Linked DNA regions of Arabidopsis thaliana. The protein of the gene in region 1 purifies or fractionates together with the protein of each later gene. This does not show direct contact. Each region holds a gene or a part of one and is shown in the gene's direction. Other genes may lie near its edges.

Region 1 (7,090 bases):
AAGCAGTATGACGCTTGAAGATTTCTTTACCCTAACAGAAATAAAAGATGGACTCACGGTCACTTCTCGTGTTGAAGAGCTTGTGTCTGTTATGCAGAGTAATAAGGATTCAGTTTTGAAGAATAGTGGTGATGCTTTTAGACAATGGACTGCTGTTGCAAGCACAATTGCGGCTACAAAGAACAGAGATTGTCTTGATGTTTTTGTAAATTTAGATGGACTTGTTTACTTAAGTAGCTGGCTAGCTGAAGCTCAGATGTTGGATAACGATTCAGTTGACAGATCTGTAGAGGAGTCAATTCTTGCTTTGTTAGAAGCTGTTGAAAATCTAGGTGTAGACAGTTCCAAGTTAGTTTCTTCTGGGTTATGGGTTGCTGTCAAGAAACTTGTGGACCATGGTAGTTCTCGAGTTCAGGATCAGGCGAGAAAGCTCTTTGGTAGCTGGAAGGATAAGGATGATTATGACCACTCTGAACATGACAGTGAAAGCTGTAACAAAATTCATGAAGATGAGATGAGAGTTGTAGCAGCAAGCATCGAGAGCAGTGGGCAAAAATCTGCTGTTACACTTTGTTCGATGCAAAGTACTAGTGAAAAACATTGTCCTGAAATAGCAGATGAAGCCTTGCTATCAGGATGCTCAGAAGGAAACATCCCAGATCAAGATAAGGGTTTGGGACTGCAGAACGACAAGGCTGGGTTTGTCTCGAACGTGAATTCCCACTGCTCTAATTCGATGACTGAAACTTTCAATGGTTCTTGTACCGATGATATCATGAAAGAGGTTCAAGAAAAACTTTCTGTGAAGGAAAAAAGCTCTATGGGGGAGACAAGTGGCCCAACGACTTTTGGTACTATGCCTACTGGGTCTAGTAGCCTACTTTATTTAGAGCGTGATAGTGCTGAAGGCCCATCAAATGCTCCACTGGATGCTGAGATACCCAAGGAAAAGCAGATGGCAAACTATTTTCTTGAAAAATTGGGTGAAGCAGGGACATCTAGTGCAGCAGGACACGTAGCTGTGTCTTCTGATTCTATTGTTGCCAGCATGGAGTTGGAGAAAAATAGTCTTTTGCAGAGTAGTCTTGATTCAAATGAGGTGAGCAAGAATGTGTCTGGGACGATATGTGGGTCGCACGATGTGAGCGTAGCCCATAATAGCAAACAGGTGTCTTCATTGACTCATATGACGGACAATCAAGATTCTGACAATTCATCAAGATTATCAGGTGGCCTTGGTAGAAGTAGAAAATTTGAGAGTGACAATTTAACTGGTCTTGCTGACAATGAAGGAAAAGATGATATGGGTCATTCTGACAAAAAGAGGAGAGTAAAACGGAGAAAAAAACGCATCTCTTCTAGATCAATGACCATATCCCAGCGCCTTGGAGCAATTGACAAAACAACTACTGATATTGATCTTGGTATTTTGGATGCCTTGGAGGTCGCTACCAAAGTCGCACAGGAAGTCGCAAGAGAAGTGGACTCTGGAGAACCTTCTCATAGTTCTTCAGAAGAACTATCCGATGAAAGCGGGCAGTCTGGTTCGCAATACTCCCGCGATGATGATGTACATACAGGTTCTCCATCTAAGGGATTATCAGTGACTGAAAACCATTCCTTTGAGGAACCTCATGTTGGAGATGATGATCTAATGGATGAGAAAGATGACAAACCTGAAAGTGGTGATGTTGAAGAAAGACACCTAGCAACAGCTGCTAAATCTGAAGTAGGCAGAGAGAAAAGCCCATGTGGCTTTGATCTTAATCAAGATATATGTCCTGATGAAACAGATGTCATTATGTCCTCCACATCTACAACCCCTGCTCCTATGTCTGTTTCATTTTCTGTCTCATCTTCTGCAATGCCTGCAGCAGCACCGTGGCATTTGGAAAGATCTCTTAGCGGGAAAGGATCAGCTGCTACGAGTGTATTTCACTCAGCATTACCTCATAAAGTTCCTAGTGGGGATTTAAGAGAAAAGCAGGTGATTTCTCGTGGTATCGATCTGAACGTGGCTGAGGTAGGAGATGATCAAGTTGAAGATCTTACTCCTTGGAAACAGTTTCCTTTCTCCTCATCAAACTCTAGGGGTGGAGAGTCTTCACATGAAGCCAGTCTGCGAGGATCAAGCAAGTTCAACTTGGATTTGAATTGTATGAACGAGGACGATGAGATGCCTCCACCTTCTGAGTCGAAGATGGAAACAAGATTGTTTTTAAGTCACAATGGTCAGCAAAGCGCATCACCTGTCTCCTCATCGTCAGTTGCTCAACAATCAGGCAAGGAAGTAAACTTTGATTTGAATGACAGGCCACAGTTTTTCATTGATTCACGTGATCAGGGTCCCTACTATGGGCGGCACCCATGGAGTACAGCCTCCTATGGGGGGCACAAATTGGAAGAACCAGGTATATCTATCTTGGGTACAAAAGTGGAAGCTGACAGAAAAGACTCTGTACCTCAGATGGCTTCGTTCTTGTCCAATGGCAAGTCCCTCGAGCCTGCAACAGGTTTACACATGGGAAGAACGGGAAACTCTTTGGGTCTAGCCCCTGGTGTCTCCTTTTCTCCAGCCCCTATGTATGGCTACAACGGATTGACTGGTCCTCCTGGTTTGTCAATGTCATCACCCATGTATGTTCCTGGAACTGCTATTCCATACATGGTGGATTCAAGAGGTACCCCAGTGATGATGCCGCAAATAATCGGATCAGCGCCGTATGTGCAGCCACCATTCCCTCAACAACACATGTTCATGAGCTTGGCGGGTGGATCGCCTAGTACGAATGGATCAATGCGGCCAAACTTTGATCAGAACTCTGGGTTTGGACTTGAGATAGGAAACAGAGAGTCGCTAAATTTGAGGCAGTTTCTATCACCTTCACAAAGCGGGGCTATGGGAGAGCATTCAGGAGCAAATGTAGAGCCCTCATCGAGTTCTTCTATCAGCATTGGTGGAAAGCGAAAAGAGCCGGAGCCACGTTGGGAGTTTCCTCCATGGAGGTGAGTGATCTACAAAGTGGTGGAGATGGGTTCTTGAATAGGTTGATGAATTGATTGATTGGTCAAAGGATGATGACAAGTGTTTTGAGGTAACTTATAAAGTGTCTTGCTGAACTTTTCCTTCTTTTTTTTTTATTTCCTCAGTTTTCCCATTTTTCAGGTTTTTTATTTTATTTCATAACATATAGGAGGATTAGTTCAAACATTGGTATATGTCAAGCTTCTTTTTAACCTTGTTGGGTTTTTCTCCATAAATAAATATATAGTTTTAAGATACAGAAAAGGTTCTAGTGGTTTGATTAATCTGTTGCGTCCATTTTCGTTCCATTCGTCGATATGTTATGCTCTCATTTCTGAACAACTGTTCATGGAAGAAAGCAGCGAAGGAGGTCTCTGGTGAGGAAGGAAGTCTCTCACGTGTTGTATCTTTCAATAAATAATGGGACCAAATAGACATTACCATTTTTGAACCGCGCATACATATTGCTACTACGGATGAGTGATGACTATGATCTTCCCAAATTGACAAATTGTATCGCCTTTAGGCGAGACTTTAGCCATCAACCGATTAAAGCCAGCCAAACGTAATAACCTTGGCAAGCATAATCATCGTTGTACAAAGAAAAACATCATTTTACTTTTGTATCCGACATCAATAAAAGCATAGCATCCTAATATCCAATAGTTATTTGTCACATGTAAAACAACTAAATATAGCCGTCCGATCGTCCCAATTAGGACGTAAACGAATATCACCGTTGATTTAGCATACTTTGATAATTTAAAAGTCGTCCATCCACGCCACAACCCCGAAATCCACGTCGCTCCACGTCAAGAACAAAACCTTGCTCCAATACAAAACTACCACGTGGCTATCTCACAATACGATCCGTTAGATCTGACACGTTGGCAAATCATGACGAAGCTAACCAATCAGGAGAAACTAAAGTGTACGCAACTAAACAGTTCACACATCACTGAATCATTTCCTATTATATACGGATCTATCGAGCTGAATCATCATCATCACTGAGTAACCCGAAAGCAAAGACTGAGAGAACCAAGGCTCCGATCTAACAATGAGGAAGAGGACGCTCGTGTCCGTTTTGTTCCTTTTCTCGCTTCTGTTTCTTCTTCCAGATCAAGGTACGTTTCGATGTATATATGTGTTGATTTTGAGTAGATAGATATAAGTGTTGCTTAGGATTCATATGCTGATGATGGCGATATTTCTGTGGTGTTTATCATAGGAAGAAAGTTACACGCGAATGCAGAAGAGAGTTCCGATGATGTTACAGATCCACCAAAAGTTGAGGAGAAAATTGGTGGTCACGGTGGTTTATCGACGGATTCCGATGTAGTTCATAGGTTAGTGTTCTGTTAGTTTCACGGTAGAACTTTCGCTTGGATTGCTTGAATCTTGCCTTATTCGAATTCGTTTGATCGACAGAGAGTCTGAGTCGATGTCAAAGAAGACGCTTCGCAGTAACGCGGAGAAGTTTGAGTTCCAAGCTGAGGTTTCTCGGCTTATGGACATTATTATCAACTCTCTATACAGTAACAAGGACATTTTCTTAAGAGAGTTGATCTCCAATGCTTCTGATGTAAGCAGCTTCGTGTACATTGTTTTAGTGAGTTTTTGGGATACCTCGTTAAATAGGGGAACTAATAAGTGTCTGTGTTGGTGATTTTCAGGCCTTGGACAAAATTAGGTTCCTTGCACTCACTGACAAAGACGTTTTGGGTGAAGGTGACACTGCTAAGCTTGAGATCCAGGTTAGCTACATGTTTCTCAATATGATTTTTATGCTTGAGAGTGTTGAAAATAGAGTTTCATCGATTTGTTTTATCAAATGCTGATCTCAGTAAATTTAGCCTTTCGTTGGAATTGTGTCTAGTGTAAGCTTTTTTCTTACCTCCGTAACTATGCTATGGTATGCAGATTAAGCTAGACAAAGCCAAGAAGATTCTTTCTATTCGAGACCGGGGAATTGGTATGACTAAGGAAGACTTAATCAAGAACCTTGGTACCATAGCAAAATCTGGAACGTCAGGTACGTTACTTATGTGGTGATACGTTGTCCTGCATAATAGTATGGATCAATAAATTCCATATTTCTAAGATCTTGCCTTTCGCAGCTTTTGTTGAGAAAATGCAATCAAGTGGGGATTTGAACCTTATTGGACAATTTGGAGTTGGATTCTACTCTGCCTATCTTGTTGCTGACTACATTGAAGTCATTAGCAAGCACAATGATGACAGCCAGTAAGTTGATTTAGAGGGCTTTGTTTGGCAATATACTTGTGGGCATGTAAAATCATTGAAAAGCTTTTCTGATAACTTCTTTTCCGTTTTCAGGTATGTATGGGAATCAAAGGCTAACGGTAAATTTGCTGTTTCCGAGGATACATGGAATGAGCCTCTTGGACGTGGAACCGAGATTAGATTACATCTTAGGGATGAAGCTGGCGAGTACCTAGAAGAAAGTAAACTTAAGGTGGGTAATATTTTGATAAGAAAGTAAATTTCTCTTTTGTTACAAACCTAAATTAAGCAATGCAAAGAACCAGAATAACCCAGGGTTTGTTGTAGAGAACCCCAAACTCTCCTGAGGGGAAGTGGTTCAGCATTATTATGAATTCAGTGCACTGCTTATTCAATATTTCTGTTTATCCTCTCATTATGGTTGCTAATGATCATTGTTGTCTACTACAGGAATTGGTGAAGAGATATTCTGAATTCATTAACTTCCCTATCTCCCTCTGGGCTAGCAAAGAGGTTGAAACCGAGGTCCCAGTTGAGGAAGATGAATCAGCTGATGAGGAAACTGGTGAGTATTAATGAAACACCATATTATAATTTTCTGCTGCAGTGTTATCTTTTTTCCCTTCAGTTTAGGCAGCCCTGATTTTTGGTAATGGTACTTGACTTCAGAAACCACCTCTACCGAGGAAGAAAAGGAAGAAGATGCTGAGGAGGAAGATGGTGAGAAAAAGCAGAAAACCAAGAAGGTGAAAGAAACAGTTTATGAATGGGAGCTTCTGAATGATGTTAAGGCTATATGGCTGAGAAGTCCAAAGGAGGTGACAGAGGAAGAGTACACTAAATTCTACCACTCTCTCTCAAAGGTGAAAACCATGCGTTAACTAAATCATACTTGTTACATACTAGGTGTAAAATTTTCGTGTGGATTTCCCTGACCCCAGTTGTTATACAGGATTTTACCGACGAGAAGCCAATGGCTTGGAGTCACTTTAATGCTGAAGGTGATGTTGAATTCAAGGCTGTGTTGTATGTTCCTCCGAAAGCTCCCCATGATCTATACGAGAGCTATTACAACAGCAACAAGGCGAACTTGAAGCTATATGTCAGGAGGGTGTTCATCTCAGATGAATTTGATGAGCTTCTGCCTAAGTATTTGAGTTTCTTGAAGGTAAACTACTTGAAAGACAAACTAAGGGGTTCTTTCAATACAAATTTATGGGCTAAATCCCTAACGTGAGTTGCTTTTGCAGGGTCTTGTTGACTCTGACACATTGCCTCTAAATGTATCAAGAGAAATGCTTCAACAACACAGCAGCTTAAAGACAATTAAGAAGAAGCTTATCCGAAAGGCGCTTGATATGATCCGCAAGCTTGCTGAAGAAGATCCTGATGAAATCCATGATGATGAGAAAAAAGGTATTCCATAAAACAAGTTTCTTGGTATCAATCCACTTTGACCGTTCCACTTTTTTTTACCATTTGGTAGCTTCATCTTTCTGAAACATGGTCTAAGCTTATTGACTTGTTGGCACGCAGATGTGGAGAAGTCTGGTGAGAACGATGAGAAGAAGGGTCAATACACAAAATTCTGGAACGAGTTTGGCAAGTCTGTCAAACTAGGTATCATTGAGGATGCTGCTAACAGGAACCGCTTGGCAAAACTTCTTCGTTTTGAGACGTAAGCTCTGTTACTTTTTTTTTAATACACGTCTGTCCATTCATTAGCACCAGCAGGCTAAAGATTTGTATTTTGCTATTTCAGAACAAAGTCCGATGGAAAATTGACTTCCCTGGATCAGTACATTAAGAGAATGAAAA
Region 2 (7,090 bases), on another chromosome or scaffold:
TTGCAATTGCAGAATCATTTCCATTCTTGTCTTTCTGCTTCAGGGTAAAATCCGGATTTGTCCTCTGATTTGGGACATCTATGGCAGACAAACACGCCCTTAGTATATAAATCAATGGACAACTATGCGGCTGCATTTTCATAAAGAAGGATAATAAGCATTCAAAAATATACCTGGACGCTTCTCAGAATTGCCAACCGCAGGGTTTAATCCAGAACTAGTTCCAACACCACCATCCTGAAAAAAGAAACATAGAAAGATCTTGCATTATTCATCTGTGTATGTATATGTATCATGAACGGGATAGAAACTTTAAAGTATCAAGAGTGTACATGGGGACGAGGTTGAGGGTTTCCAGATTGTGATTGCTGATACTTGTATACTGTCCAGTCAAACACAAAATCAAACTGAAAACCTGGGACAAACAAAATACTCATTTTGAGTCAACAGATGCTTCTGTATGAACTTAATAGCCTGAGAGGAAGAAGAGAGATAGAGAAAATGAATGACCTTCCCGGATAAAAAGGTTGCGGAATAGTCTCTTCAAATATGCATAGTCTGGCTTATCATCAAACCTAAGTGAGCGGCAGTAATGGAAGTAAGATGCAAACTCTGTTGGATGACCTCTGCATAACGTCTGCAAAGTTACAGTACTATCTATGATCAACCGTCTCTACCTGATCATAATCCTTTGAAACATGGATTCGTATAAGTTTCTAAATGTAAACCATATAAGAAGAACTTACTTCGATGGAAGTTGAAACCTTCTTTTCGCTGATCTTATCATACTTCTGTTTCTTGTTTCCAGCTTTCAGCCCTTGCCAAGGGAGACTACAAGAGAATAAGATATTAGAGATGGATTGGGAGACAAGAATCAGAACAGAAAGAAAAGTTACTTAATGACTCTCACCTTCCCTTGAGGAAATACATGAGGATGTAACCAAGCGATTCTATATCATCTCTCCGACTTTGCTCTACCAAGTGAAAAATGTCAAAAAGTAATCAGTGAAAGAGGAGAAAAAGATCCGCGATTATCATGAGGGTTTATAGAAAGTGATGGAGTATACCAATCCCTAGGTGAGTGTTCAAGCTGGCATACCTCGGAGTCCCAATTAGACTTTTATTCTCCCTGAATCATTTACACGTAAAATCCAAACAATAAAGAACCCGTTGTCAGGAAATCTGAAGCTGACATACAATATGCTGAAAATGCTGAATCTGTGACATCCAAAATCTTGTTACCTGTATGGGATATGTCTATGAGTTGAGCTGTCTCTATATTTCTTAGCCAAACCATAGTCTATGATGTAGACCTAGAGAAAGAGACCAAAATCAGTCATACAATAGCGAGACCCCAAAAACAAATCCAACTGAGAGAATTTGCAAAAGTAAGAAAACCTGATTTGCCCGCCTCCCTAAGCCCATGAGAAAATTATCCGGCTTTATATCACGATGAAGATACGACTTAGAATGAATGAACTCGAGACGATTTATCTGACACAAGATAAACCCAACAGTGAGAGAGTTACATTAAGAATGACAAGACACCAATCCAAAGCATAATTACCATTTGATCAGCAAGCATAAGAACAGTCTTCAAGCTAAACTGCCTCTTGCAATAACTAAACAAATCTTCAAGACTTGGACCAAGCAAATCCATGACTAAGACATTGTAGTCCCCCTCAACACCATACCATTTCATATTTGGAATCCCAGCTACATTAACGAACATACACAAGAAATGAATAACCAAATGAGAATTCAATAACAATAGAGATAAACATTTCATTGCATACTTCCACCCTGAAGAACTCTATATATCCTCGACTCATATGACAATTGCGGATGCGCAGTCTTCACACTTTCCTGCACACACACAAAAAAAACTAAGTTTTGATGATCCAAGTTGGGACTTTGAAGAGATGAAACACTCACAAGCTTAATAGCAACTTCTTCGTTAGTCTGAACATCAGTTCCTGCAATCAAAACAGTCTCATCAAACGACTATTGAAGAGATTTTATATGTATAGAGAGGGGAGGAACGAACCGAGGTAAATCTCTCCGAAAGAGCCGCTCCCAATTTTGCGGCCAAGGCGAAACTTGTTCCCAACACGAGGTTCCATACCCAATTGAAAAAACCCTAACTTTGTGGTTTTATCTATCTACTACGTCGAGCGGATTTCTCGATTTCTCATGCGGAGGAGAGTGAAGTGCGATGATCAAAACTAGGGCTTTTGCGAAGAAGAGGGGAAGAATCGAGCAGGTTGAAATTGGAAGTGAGTAGGTGAGGAAATTTAGGGAGATTCCATGGTGTTTTGGTTAAGCAACCAGAAGCAAGCAAGATGAAGAAGACTGCGCGTGTGTGTGTGTCTCGCTTAGCCTGTTGCTTTTGGTCTTTTCTATTCCTTTTCTCAATTTATTAAATATCTTTATTCGGTGAAAAAAATATACAGTATATTTCTTAGAAACTTTATAATAAGAATAAGGATTTTGTTTTTATATTTTCCTAAATTCCATAAATCTCTTAAGTTTACAAATTCATATATCTTTTAACATTTAAACAAATAACCAGACTTCTAGTAATATATATAAATTTATTTAGGGAGTGTTATTGGTTTGTGATGTATTCGAAGTTTCAGTGACTTAAAATGTTATGAAGAATTTGTTGTTATTCAATAAAGATTTTTCAATTTTTTGTTAAAGTTTGGTGTTATTAGTTTAAGATTTGTAAAAAGTAATATAAAATCTTCATAAATGTAGAGTTATTGGATTCATATTTTTATAAAGTTATTAAATTTTTTGTGTAATTCATTTAAAACAAAGAATCTATGATTATTATAATGAATTAAATTATTGTGTTATTGGTTTATGACTTTCTACCCTTTTTTTTATAAAATAAAGTTGTGAAAAATATCATACCCTTTTTTTTTACAAAATAAAGTTGTGAAAAATATCATAAAAATAAAGAAATTGTTTGAGAAACTTTACAAAATTATTAAAAACTAATCAACAAGTTTATTAATGACCTTAAACCAAAATAGGTACATATAATATTAGATAGATCATGCAAATGCGTTTGGTGGTTATGTTACTTTTGTATCATTTGATTGGCATGATGTTCTACATTTTTTTACCATTTCTCTATTCTTAAGTCGAAATCTTTAGGACCAAATAAGCATTTTTCCCTAAACTAACAAAGCAGCATCTCACTAGATGTTTTCCAATCAGATTTGCTTACTATAGTGTGCTAATATGAAATTTGAGTGACTCATGACAATGCATCAATCCAGATTAAGCATTAACATGTGATCAGCTAGCATTCATGAGAATATGAGAATTGTCTTCGAGCTAAAAGAAAGTAGACTCTTTTTTCACTTGAGAAACTCATGACATACTTTTTTTTTATATACATTTGTTTTTTGATGATTAGGTTAAACTTTTGTAATAAATAAATTTTTAGTTAAATAAATAAACTTCTATCATCAAAAGACTCGTGAGTTTCTTCCTATGTTGCAATGAAATGGAAACGAAAACGCGAATACGAAACGTTTCGGAAACGAGAAACGATTTTTTCTTAAAATTAGGGATTGGAAACGATTTTTTCTTAAAATTAGGGATTGGAAACGTATACACATACATACATATATATATATATATATATATAACATTAACATAAAACTATATTAAAGAAAAAATGGTTTAAACAATACAAGTCCAAAACATCAATATTAAATAAATAAACTAAAATTCTAAAAGATAAAAATTAAAAGGTTCAAGTTCAAATAGTTAATTTAGACCAACATTTTCATTTTCATTAGTTTCATCAAAGATAATATAAAGCTCTTTTCAAATCTGGTTTATCAAAAGAAATATCTTAAAACTCAAAGTCTTCCAAAATTAGTTATATGTATTAATAATTTTAATAATTTTAATTTTAGTTATTAAATTTTCAAAGTTGAAAAAAATTTGTCGTATGTCTATTTGGGAAACATGAGTTTCTATCTTTAAAACGTAAGTTTCCATCGTGTTTCCAAACATAAATTTTTAAAAAACGCGTTTCCGTTACGTTTTTCATGTTTCCGGAGAGTTTCTGTTTTCGTAACGTTTCGGAAATGGGAAATAGACCTCGGGGCGAGTTTCCATGCAACCTAGATTTCTTCTAACCAATAGAAATGCTCTTAAAAGCCTTTTTTTAAAAAAAATCAACAGAAATGCTCTTAAATGTTAAAAACAAATATTCATGCCAAATTTTGATGTAAAAATTTGTTATTTTCGCTTTAGTTGTGTCTTATTTCGGTCTGGTCATTTTCTCAAAGCCCTTTTAGTTATTTATATATATATTCTCTGTCTCGTATTTGTCCCCAAAAATCTAGGGTTTTAAGGTTTCTTATCCTTCCTCTTCCTCCGCCAGATTCTTTTCTTGCGAAGATGAGCAACGACAAGGACAGCATGAACATGTCCGATCTCTCCACCGGTAAGATATTATAATCTTATTGTCCTATAGAATGAGGCCTGGATTCTCTTTTGTTCTCTTGATTTATTGAAAAAAGCTTCTCTTGTTTTGTGTTTTGCTTATAGCTCTTAACGAGGAGGATCGTGCCGGGCTTGTTAATGCTCTTAAGGTGAGTTTTTTCTTCACGATATGATTTGCGTATGACTATCTGGAGATTGGGCTATTCATCTTTGTAACTTTTAGGGATTGTTTTCTCTTCCTGACTAGTTTTGAGAAATTGATTTGATTCTTATGGCTTAGAGAATTTGACTTTGGTTTTGAGGATTGTCTATGCATCTTAATTTGGTTGTTTGAAAGTTTGTGACTTTTCCTGATTTGATTTACGTGTTTGCTGCAGAACAAGTTGCAGAATTTGGCTGGACAACACTCTGATGTCCTTGAAAACTTGACTCCACCAGTCAGGAAGCGTGTCGAGTTTCTAAGAGAGATTCAGGTGAGTAAATTTTCAGCTTTTAGATGATCTTGGATTTTGTATTGGTTTTGAATTAGCTGGCTGTTCAGGTCTAATGAGTTTTTGGTGGAGCAAATTTATCTGATTCCTTTTGTATTTTAACCTTTGCAGAACCAATATGATGAGATGGAAGCAAAATTCTTTGAGGAGAGAGCAGCTCTTGAAGCTAAGTATCAAAAGTTATATCAGCCTTTATATACCAAGGTTTGAATACGGTCTTTGATTCTGCGAGATTCTTATGGTCTTTAGTTTCCTATTATTAGAATATCTTTGAAACACATGATGACACCTCAATTGATAAAGGTTTAATAAGACTTCTCTCTGTTGCTACTTACGTGAATGATTAGTGCTTCATGGTTTTCACTTCTTTCTGCATCATTCGTGATTGTAACTGATATTGATGGTCTTCTGCCTTCTGCATCACAGCGATATGAGATTGTGAATGGTGTGGTCGAAGTTGAAGGTGCAGCTGAAGAAGTAAAATCCGAACAAGGAGAAGATAAATCAGCTGAAGGTGTGTTTATCGATTCTTTTACTGAAACATGTTTATTTTTAGTATCTTATGATGATGATGGTGAACTCATGATTTTTATATGATATGAAACTGTCTTTCTGCAGAGAAAGGAGTACCAGATTTCTGGCTTATTGCATTGAAGAACAATGAAATTACTGCGGAAGAGGTTCGTTATTAGAATATTCTTCTTTTTGGTTTATAAAATGGCGATTCTCTTTATCATTATGTGGTTTTTTCCACGGTTTTAGATAACTGAGCGAGATGAAGGGGCTCTCAAGTATCTCAAAGATATCAAGTGGAGTAGGGTTGAAGAACCAAAAGGGTTCAAGCTTGAGTTTTTCTTTGATCAGAATCCTTACTTCAAGAACACTGTCTTGACCAAGACATATCACATGATTGATGAAGATGAGCCTATCCTTGAGAAGGCCCTCGGGTAATGTTTTGCTCTATCAAGTATTTACTGTTTATGTTCTGAAGACAATAAGTCTTTATTGACTGTCGTTTACTGCTGTTCAGGACGGAGATTGAGTGGTATCCTGGAAAGTGTTTGACACAGAAGATTCTAAAAAAGAAGCCAAAGAAAGGATCCAAAAACACAAAGCCGATCACTAAGACTGAGGACTGTGAGAGTTTCTTCAACTTTTTCAGTCCACCTCAAGTTCCTGACGATGATGAGGATCTTGATGATGACATGGTATTTCCATCTCCATAAGCAGTTTAGTTTTTAGAGTCAGTAATTAAGATTGTGTTGGATTTTAATCTGATCATCTAATATTCACAGGCTGATGAACTCCAAGGACAAATGGAGCATGATTATGATATCGGGTGTGTACCTTTCTATTTCATATTCAGTTCTCTTCACTTAGTTCAGTTCTAGGATCTGAGTCTGTCCACTGTTTATCCTGTAGTTCAACAATCAAAGAGAAAATCATCTCGCATGCTGTGTCATGGTTCACTGGTGAAGCTGTTGAGGCAGATGACCTTGATATTGAGGACGACGATGATGAGATTGATGAAGATGATGATGAAGAGGACGAGGAAGATGATGAGGATGACGAGGAGGAGGATGATGAGGATGATGACGAGGAGGAAGAAGCAGATCAAGGAAAGAAGAGCAAAAAGAAGGTAAATTATGTGGTTTTGTTCTACTTAAAACCTTCCTACATAGGAAACTAAAACCTCTGAAACTGATTTGGTGGTTTATCTTTTGTTTTGTTGCAGTCATCAGCTGGGCACAAGGTTTAACAATCAATCAATCTCGATCTTTTTTTTTTGTTGATAATGCAATGGCTAACCTGAGGTATCCTTTTTTAATGAACAGAAGGCTGGAAGAAGTCAACTTGCGGAAGGTCAAGCAGGTGAGAGGCCACCGGAATGTAAGCAGCAGTGAAGAAGTGAAGAATCTTGGCTTAGTTATGATGAAGAAGAAGAGTGAAGAGTGTCTTTGAGCCGAGGTTGTGTTTCTTTAATTTGCAGAGTCATGGTCCGGTTTATTATATATCAGTTTTGGGTGATTGGTTTGCTATTTAAAAAAAAAAAATGGGTTCTTTGGTTTGGTTTGTGTCTCTTGATTTTTCCTTTTGTAATGATCTTATGAATTTGTTTCGAGTTA

What was found. Proteins that work in one complex are often made in the same cells at the same time.
Region 2: the proteins of SHD (region 1) and NAP1;2 fractionate together in Arabidopsis thaliana (co-fractionation; one large-scale study listed by BioGRID). This does not show direct contact.

Annotation. Positions count from the first base shown.
Region 1 is NC_003075.7:12,552,847-12,559,936, reverse strand, and holds the start of SHD (Chaperone protein htpG family protein), read left to right. Parts: upstream 1-3,878; 5' UTR 3,879-4,085; coding exon 4,086-4,152; coding exon of another isoform or gene 4,153-4,156; intron 4,157-4,256; coding exon 4,257-4,374; intron 4,375-4,456; coding exon 4,457-4,610; intron 4,611-4,701; coding exon 4,702-4,782; intron 4,783-4,948; coding exon 4,949-5,060; intron 5,061-5,145; coding exon 5,146-5,272; intron 5,273-5,365; coding exon 5,366-5,504; intron 5,505-5,722; coding exon 5,723-5,837; intron 5,838-5,941; coding exon 5,942-6,135; intron 6,136-6,224; coding exon 6,225-6,440; intron 6,441-6,522; coding exon 6,523-6,688; intron 6,689-6,808; coding exon 6,809-6,950; intron 6,951-7,034; coding exon 7,035-7,090. Other genes in the region: AT4G24200 (Transcription elongation factor (TFIIS) family protein), read left to right, coding at 8-3,010. UniProt on the Arabidopsis thaliana protein: May have a molecular chaperone role in the processing of secreted materials. Required for shoot apical meristem (SAM), root apical meristem (RAM) and floral meristem (FM) formation, probably by regulating the folding of CLAVATA proteins (CLVs).
Region 2 is NC_003071.7:8,434,173-8,441,262, forward strand, and holds the start of NAP1;2 (nucleosome assembly protein 1;2), read left to right. Parts: upstream 1-4,283; 5' UTR 4,284-4,428; coding exon 4,429-4,474; intron 4,475-4,578; coding exon 4,579-4,622; intron 4,623-4,850; coding exon 4,851-4,946; intron 4,947-5,075; coding exon 5,076-5,168; intron 5,169-5,390; coding exon 5,391-5,478; intron 5,479-5,582; coding exon 5,583-5,644; intron 5,645-5,726; coding exon 5,727-5,911; intron 5,912-5,994; coding exon 5,995-6,172; intron 6,173-6,259; coding exon 6,260-6,303; intron 6,304-6,386; coding exon 6,387-6,603; intron 6,604-6,699; coding exon 6,700-6,717; intron 6,718-6,799; coding exon 6,800-6,868; 3' UTR 6,869-7,090. Other genes in the region: ckl5 (casein kinase I-like 5), read right to left, coding at 1-78, 174-237, 333-415, 511-637, 747-831, 911-974, 1,068-1,129, 1,243-1,313 and 5 more. UniProt on the Arabidopsis thaliana protein: May modulate chromatin structure by regulation of nucleosome assembly/disassembly. May function in nucleotide excision repair (NER). Involved in somatic homologous recombination.